Bombyx mori: one gene and its partner. The protein of the gene in region 2 purifies or fractionates together with the protein of the main gene of each other region. This does not show direct contact. Links are inferred from orthologs where the notes say so. Each region holds a gene or a part of one and is shown on either strand. Other genes may lie near its edges. The genes, in order: uncharacterized protein LOC101741862 and Brf.

Evidence for each region.
Region 1: the proteins of Brf (region 2) and uncharacterized protein LOC101741862 purify together in Drosophila melanogaster (affinity purification with mass spectrometry; 3 studies listed by BioGRID, with this or other methods). This does not show direct contact. The link is inferred for Bombyx mori from reciprocal best matches to the Drosophila melanogaster genes Brf and Trf.

Annotation. Positions count from the first base shown.
Region 1 is NC_085118.1:10,666,048-10,669,881, reverse strand, and holds part of uncharacterized protein LOC101741862, read right to left. Parts: intron 1,878-3,834; coding exon 1,781-1,877; intron 1,583-1,780; coding exon 1,384-1,582; intron 1,332-1,383; exon of another isoform or gene 1,132-1,331; intron 902-1,131; exon of another isoform or gene 137-901; intron 1-136. UniProt on the Drosophila melanogaster protein: Acts as a transcription factor. Binds to the TATA box promoter element which lies close to the position of transcription initiation. May be essential for embryonic development.
Region 2 is NC_085131.1:9,033,699-9,037,532, reverse strand, and holds part of Brf (TFIIB-related factor), read right to left. Parts: intron 636-3,834; coding exon 409-635; intron 160-408; coding exon 21-159; intron 1-20.

The DNA of each region.
Region 1 (3,834 bases), on a different chromosome or scaffold from region 2:
GTGATTGGTTTGAATTCAAAACGAAAGCAGGGATTGGTTCATGTGCTTGCTGCAATGTCAGCTATGACAGCAGTCATAGCAGCGTAGACGATATTATGTAATAAGTGGACCGGACAAAGTTAATAATAAAACAATATAATTGTATAATGTATATATTTTTTTGTAATAAGCTCTATGTCCCTCGAAATATAATTAATTTAGTAAGTTTTTGCCTAGAAAACATTAAAAAAGAATATTTTTTCGCAATGTAGGGAAGACGGCAGCGGCTTGGTTCTGCTCCTGGCATTGCTGACGTCCATGAGCGACGGTAACCACTCACCATCAGGTGGGCCGTATGCTCGTCTGCCTAGAAAGGCAATAAAAAAAACGGGTTCTGAGAAATTCAACCATTACACAATTTATAAAAAAAAAAGAAATGGTCATTATTTGTCTGGTGACTGTTTTTTAGTAAGCGTAGAATATCTTCATTGTCAATTATTTTAGAAAAACACTGTGTAGATATTACTGACAGATTTTCCTTTGTCATGTATTTCATTATCTGTCTTATTAGTGTTTCTGTGCGTGTGCATATTTTATACAACACCACAGATGGGTACGAGAGTCCACCGAAATCTTTCAAATTAATCAGATTGTGAAAATACAAATTTTGATTAGCAGGTAGCAATGATAAGCATTCTGGACAGTTGATTTTCGCTTGCAGTTTTCGGCTTACAAAGCCGGCTATATAGCCTAAAATTTGCTCCACTGTTTCTGGCAATTGAAGGCTAGCGTCCAGCGTCTTTGATAGCATGAATAGAGCATACTCTGCTGGTTTTCACAGGCATCCAGTCATATTCTTGTCCTTCCAACTTAACTGCAGCTATTCACTTTTTTGCCGAATTGCATTTTGCCGGTAGGAAAACTAAAAGAAAAAAAATTATGCAAAGTCCATTATCGTTATAAAATTATCAAAATAAATATACCTATTTTATAATAAAAAATATTTTATCGATGTACTTTTTAATATTTCACCAAGAAGAAAACAAATACAATCAAAAATTTACTGACTTCATGTTGCATAGTGTTAACCATCTCGGTTTGATAACATATTTGCAAATCATTAAATATAATTATAATTTTGTTACTACTTACTAGTTAAAAGTGATCCCTGGACATTTTAGCCTTGTATGGCTCCTGCACAACTTCACAGCACACGCTGGCATGAATATTGACAACACAATAATAAATCGAAATAAGAATGGTCACGGTGGACACGACCTTTAAGCCCCGCCTGCTTGCTTTTGTTGGGTCGTTTTTAGAGCGCAGTTACATTTCCTGACTTATTATTTATTCGTAGCGTAAAATATTAAACATTGTGCATAAGTATATTAAACATATGATTACCTGTAATTACCATTTTTCCGTTAACAAAAATAAGCAAGACAACTCTCGGTCTCACCATTCTGTAAACAAGTCCTGGGAATAATTCTGGTTCATAACTGGAGAATTGACCATGTGCCTGCTGTAAAGCTTCTAATTTTATTGGAAATCTAAGGTCAGCAGTAGCAATAAAATTTTGTATTTTGAAATTCAAAAATTTTGCCTGTAACATAATATAAGGGCAGTAACTTACTATGTGATATAGATGAATCATTTTAGATTGACCACACGCTAACGTGTCAACAAAAATTTTAATCATCTTTAAAATTTGATTACATTTTATTTAAGTTGTAATGTGTAGCAAGCAAGTAATGATTTCTATTGGGTTTAGTTGGGTTGGGTTATTGTACGTAAAACTTACTGGGAATCCGAGTTTTTGTATAATCCTTGCAATTTTTCTTGCAGCTACATATGAATCATGTTCATTTCTTGTCCCAGTACAAACTATTTTCCCAGATCTATGAAATAAAATAAAAAATCGTATTAAAACTGCTTGCTTATTTTTGTCACAAAGCAATAATGTTTCAGTTTATGGGTAGCTATTTTTGAAATGCAATTTTAACGTTGATCCAAGTCTCAAGATGGCCGGTATGACGTTACGATGTCATGAGCATGATGTTTTCTTAAAGATATCCATTGAAATCGTAGTGGCACTTCAAACAATTAGTGCGGTTAACGCAGTTTTCTATAGCAGTTCACCCACGCTATGAACCATATGGCATTGCACCATTTTCTCCAAGACCTCAGAAAACGTTCTATTATTTGTCTGTTTATAGATTTAGGACAGCAGAAAATAAAATTTGTGTTATGTTATACATTTAATGTTCGTTCAACAAGACACATTTGACGACAGAAATAAACAAATTTTCCTGCAACCAGGCATATTTTATGATAGCAATAAATAAATTTTCCTGCAACAAAGCACATTTATGACAGCAGTAAATAGGTTTACTACTCAACTATGTTTGTCGCTAGGGGCGCTATTCCAACTCCATATAAATTTGAACTAACTTTTACGCGATTGAGAAGTTAAAAAAATCCCACTAAGCACACAGGAGTCTCTTCATTTCGTTTCTTTAAATTAATATAGCATTTAGCAATAGCAAAATTTCTATACCTATGTCATAAAGTAACAAAGCATCGGTACAGTTATATCCTGATAAGATTCTTATGAAGTTAAGCCGAACAAACTTAAATAGCATTCCAAATGATTCGTTGCGTCGTCTGTAGTTGTTAATGCAGCTTTTACTTTACTTTAAACATGGACATTTACTAAATATTTAAACGTAGTAGGCAACGGCTTGGTACTGCATCTGATATTGTTGACGTCCCTATGCTTCGGTGACAACTTACCATCTGGGTAGACTAGTCTGCCTACAAGGGCAAAAAATCATTTTTAATTTTTTTGTTTAGTATAATTTTATATTCATTGCAATTTAATCGTTTTATTAAGCGGCACGTAAGTTGGCAAGGTTTTGGTGTAGTGGGGGTAATGTCGCGCATAGTGCACATTGCAACAAAAAAATGGTCACTTTTATTGCCCGCATATTATTTAATTTAATTTATTAAATTTTTTATTTGCTTTATTTATTTTTAAGCCTGTGTGTTTAGAAGAAATTTAAAGAAAAGAGAGGAATTCGTGAAGTGTATTAGATGTTATAAATAAAATATAATTAAAAGTTAAGAAGAAGTTTGCTTAAAAAAACATACTTATTATTAAAAATGAAGTGTCGCCGTCGTTACTATCATTTTCTAATAGTGCTACCCCTTGGATTAAATTTATGGTAGCACCTGAGCTGGTGGAAGGAGTTGGCTCCTCATCGTCGACATAACGAAGAGTCGCTGTCGTCACTGGCGTAAATAATAAAACGCTCAGTGACTGAATCAACTATATGGTAATTGGTATTTGGTCCTGGCATTGCAAACAAACTTAAAACAATAACACTCGTAACAAAAACTAAATTTAAAACAATAATAACAACTCGTAACTAAAAACTCAATATAAACAAAGGGTTCCTACAACTTTAGTAAGCGCATGTGTAATCGGGAGCGAACGGAACAGTGGACGCGGTGCGGGAGGGGAGGGTCGACTGACGCACCAATCGCGCGCTCGGAACGGTGCTACGTCTTTCCCCGCGTCCCGCTTGACAACCAAAGAGACCTAAAAAACGACTTCTGCGCATCTAGCGACTCTTGCCAATTTACGTGCCGGGGACTATAGCAATGTCGCGTATATGGCACGCTACATCAACGAAAGCACGGCCCAGGGGTCATAACCTCTCCCCAGTGTCATGTCAAATCTTATTTAAGTAACTATGTCGTATGACAATCGAAGTCGAGTTTTCATCATGGAACGGGATAAATAAAATAACATTATTTCATTCATACACATTACTGAAATGGACTTTTTTATTT
Region 2 (3,834 bases):
AAATATTAGTTTTCACATACCCTGGGAGACGGGTCCCGGTGAACTAGTATACGAAGCGGAACAGACTTTTCGTCTTCTTGACATATCCTTTTCTATTTGAGCTTCTATTTCTTTCTGCAATTCCGTCAGTTCCTTCTCTCCGTCCTCTTCTTCCATTAGCTGAAGAAGAATAGTTTATATTTTGATGACACACCAGGTTAGGTCTAGCTGGTAACCATTCACCACCGCCCTATCTATTGCTGTAGAAAAGCAGTTATGCGTTCCTGGTTGAACAGTAGAACAGCCCCTGTACAAATTGAAAGCGCGGTTTCCTGTTTCAAAGTGGATGGCATCATTCTCGTGGTTTCCATTAACCTCTTAACTACCAATGGAACCTTCTCGAACAGCTACGAAAATTAGCTTGTTTACCTTTTGCAGCCTCTCTTTATCACGTTTCCGCGCCGCCCTGAACGCCGGTGGGTCCTGTTCCTCCTCTAGGTCGACGGTCATGAACTCTTCGAGGGTCAGGGCGCTGGATGGGGTGTCTCCGAATTCGAACATGCGTTTGCGGAGTGTTGACTCGTGAACTTTGACTATACGGACGATATCGGACGGGGTGCGTGAGAATTCGTGCAGTCGAGCTGCTATGAGTAATGCTGTAAAAGAAATTTACAATTTGATGTCGCTATTATTCATGTCTATCAAGAAACTAGGGCCTACCCTGAGCAACAAGTTTCTCGATGTTCTCTCTTCTTCTCGTCAATGGTAAGAGATCTCGTGGACGAATCCCCATGCGCTGGACTGATCAGGTGAAAGACCTTACTGTAACCACACTTAACGAGTGTGTGTGCCTCTTTATTTTTATTGCTTATTGGTTTACCCACCAAAACGGAACGCATGATTGCTTGGCGGTGGATAGGAAATATCTCGCTATTGGTACCCATACGTATTAGCCTACATTTACGGGCTCCGCGTGACATAAGAACTGAATCGTCATTAGTAATCTTTTTTTTCTCTCCTACCTATGCTGATAGCCTTGAGAGGCTATTTCAGCTTCACCCTAACGTTTGTAGGTGAGCTCACGGAGCTCAAACCGGAGAGTTGCTAACACTGACCCTAGCAAGAGCAGTGCTTTGCAGAATCTACCACCGGATCGGAAACGCGACCCACTGAGAAGATCCGGCAAGAAACTCAGTGGGCTGTGTCTATGGGCTAATTCGCTCGTCGAGCCCTTCGTCGCAAGCGATGCGTTCGACGAGGACGGTGACCGGTGCTTGTGGTGCCTAAGAGCACCGTTAATGGATCAGGAGGATCCGTAATGACGTACTTTGGGCGACGTCGACGGTTTACCATTCGATAAGTAATCAAAAACAGATTAGAGCAAATGAGAAGGAAAATATGCACAATGCAAATAATTCTTAATTTGTTATAGTATAAGAAACGACGACATTATTATAAGTGCTTTTCAAAGCACGCTCGTAATGTCTACCTTTTTAAATTCTTAATAATTTAAATATTAAACAAAAAAAAACACTGTTGCCTTGCTTGTATTTCGATTGGATATGGATTGTGTCAATAAACGATACATCCAAACCTTTTTTTTTTTCTTTTTTTTTCTTGTTATCTGGTGTTAAGTGGTTACTGGAACCCATAGACATTTACAACGTAAATGCGCCACACACCTTGAGATATAAGTTCTAAGGTCTCAGTATAGTTACAACGGCTGCCCCACCCTTCAAACCGAAACGTATTACTGCTTCACGGAAGAAATAGGCGGGGCGGTGGTACCTACCCGTGCGGACTCACAAGAGGTCCTACCACCAGTAACCTGTATACTCATTGAAAAGTTAAATGTACCTACATACAGATATAGAACAGAAACACTTAGTATAGAACTGTATAGACACTTCTTATGAATAAAGAAAGTATAACTTTAACGTACAAATGTTTGTAAAAAACATATCTATCAGTGTTTCCAATTATATGACCACCACTGTACATGTACATATGTATAATAATAGTAAATATGTATATGCAAAGACATGAACTCTAAAAACATTGCAGTCCTTTAAGAGACAGTCGCTCAAAAACGCTATACCGCTATAAACAGTTTATTCAATAAATTCGAATATCAAATTTAACGTGACCTTCGAATGAAGACAGCGGAAGACATGAGACCGATCGTCGTAGTGGCAACGCTATTCAATATGTTTTAATTTCCTTGTGTTTGAGTGTGTGAGTGTGTTTGTTTACGTCTTTCCGCCTGTCCCGCCTTGATGGATTATTTGTATTGTAAACAAATTTCCGCAGGTACGCTCAGAAAATATAATTAGCGGCAAAACGTTTCCACAGAGCTTGGTAGCGCGTCACTGATCAAATACCATAGAAGCAAAGGCTTTTAACTGTAAAGTACCGTTCTCTCCTACTGTTTGTCAACTGGTTTTATATTTGAGGCCGTCAGCGTAGAAGTGGCCTAAGCTTACCATAGTTCTTGTGGAGTAATGAGGTTTAAGTTTTCATGAATTTGAGTAGGCAAAAAAAACAATACGCGCAAAAATAATGTTTACAAAGCCATCTGTTATCTATGGGTGAAACTATGGATAGGCCGGTTATGCACCAAAGGAGAATGACCAGAAGTCGTCTAGCAAAGTTGCATGTTGCAGAATCAAAATAATCAGAATAATAAGAATCAAAATAGTTTTCTTATTTTTTACAATTAATTTCACTACAGAAATGTTTTGTACAGGACCGGAATTATGATTTTGGCTCTTCGTACACAAGGCTACGCAAATCTTCGATACTAATGTTGTAAACGACATTAGTATCAAGTCGCGAGTATCGAGTAGCGCACGGTCCGTACACACGACAATGAATCGCAAGACGCGAGTTGCCTATTTAGTCATTATACCATTAATTTAACATCAGATATTACTTGTTGTATTGTTTATAGTTTAGTGGATACGGATATCTGGTACGCTAGATAACGATCCTAGATCACAACAACAACGTCGGCAATCTGGCTTACAACATCGGCTATCATAATAAAATGTACACAAAATTCGTGTAAATACCTAAAACAAAAGCTTAATAAAAAGAATATACTGCCTAAAAGTGTTTTTTCTTTACAAAACTATGTACTGACTATTTTGAAAACTATAAAAATACCAATCTGTTATATTAACGGCCTTTCTCACGGCTACGAAAAGCTTTTTCTGTTATTTCCTTTTTTTAATATTCTTTTAATTTATAATTATACATATAAACAAGGATATTTTTCCATATCAGACACAAATTTAATATTAAAAAATTGCTCCGCCATCTTGGAAATCGCCGAGACTTATGTAGCGAAGATCACGACATGCAGGTAGCGCGCGATTGACACGACGCGAGTCGCGGGACGAATGTCGGCGACGCGACTCGTGTACGAACCTCAATGGATTTGTATGGCGGTAGTCGCTTGGAGACTAAAATCGTTGAGTATCGAAGATTTGCGTAGCCTTGTGTACGAAGGGCCTTATAGTAAATCAACAATTGTTCGCATCATTTCCGTATTAAAGCCATGACATGACGTTTCGTTCTCTCTATTTAGACAGATTACTCATGCATGAGTTTTTAGACTCAATCATCACAAAAATGATATCAAAATCTTGTACAGTTAAATAACTAACTTAAATAACTAAATAACTAATTATATTCTTATATTACATTTTACAACGTATTGAATTACGATTTTATCATTAAGTTAAAATAATTATTTTTTCTGTGTTCCGTTTCACGCAAACGCAACTGTCAAAGCTATGATATTGTCGAATGCCGATAGACGAGCCGGCGGCCGCGACCCAGCAAGCGGCCATA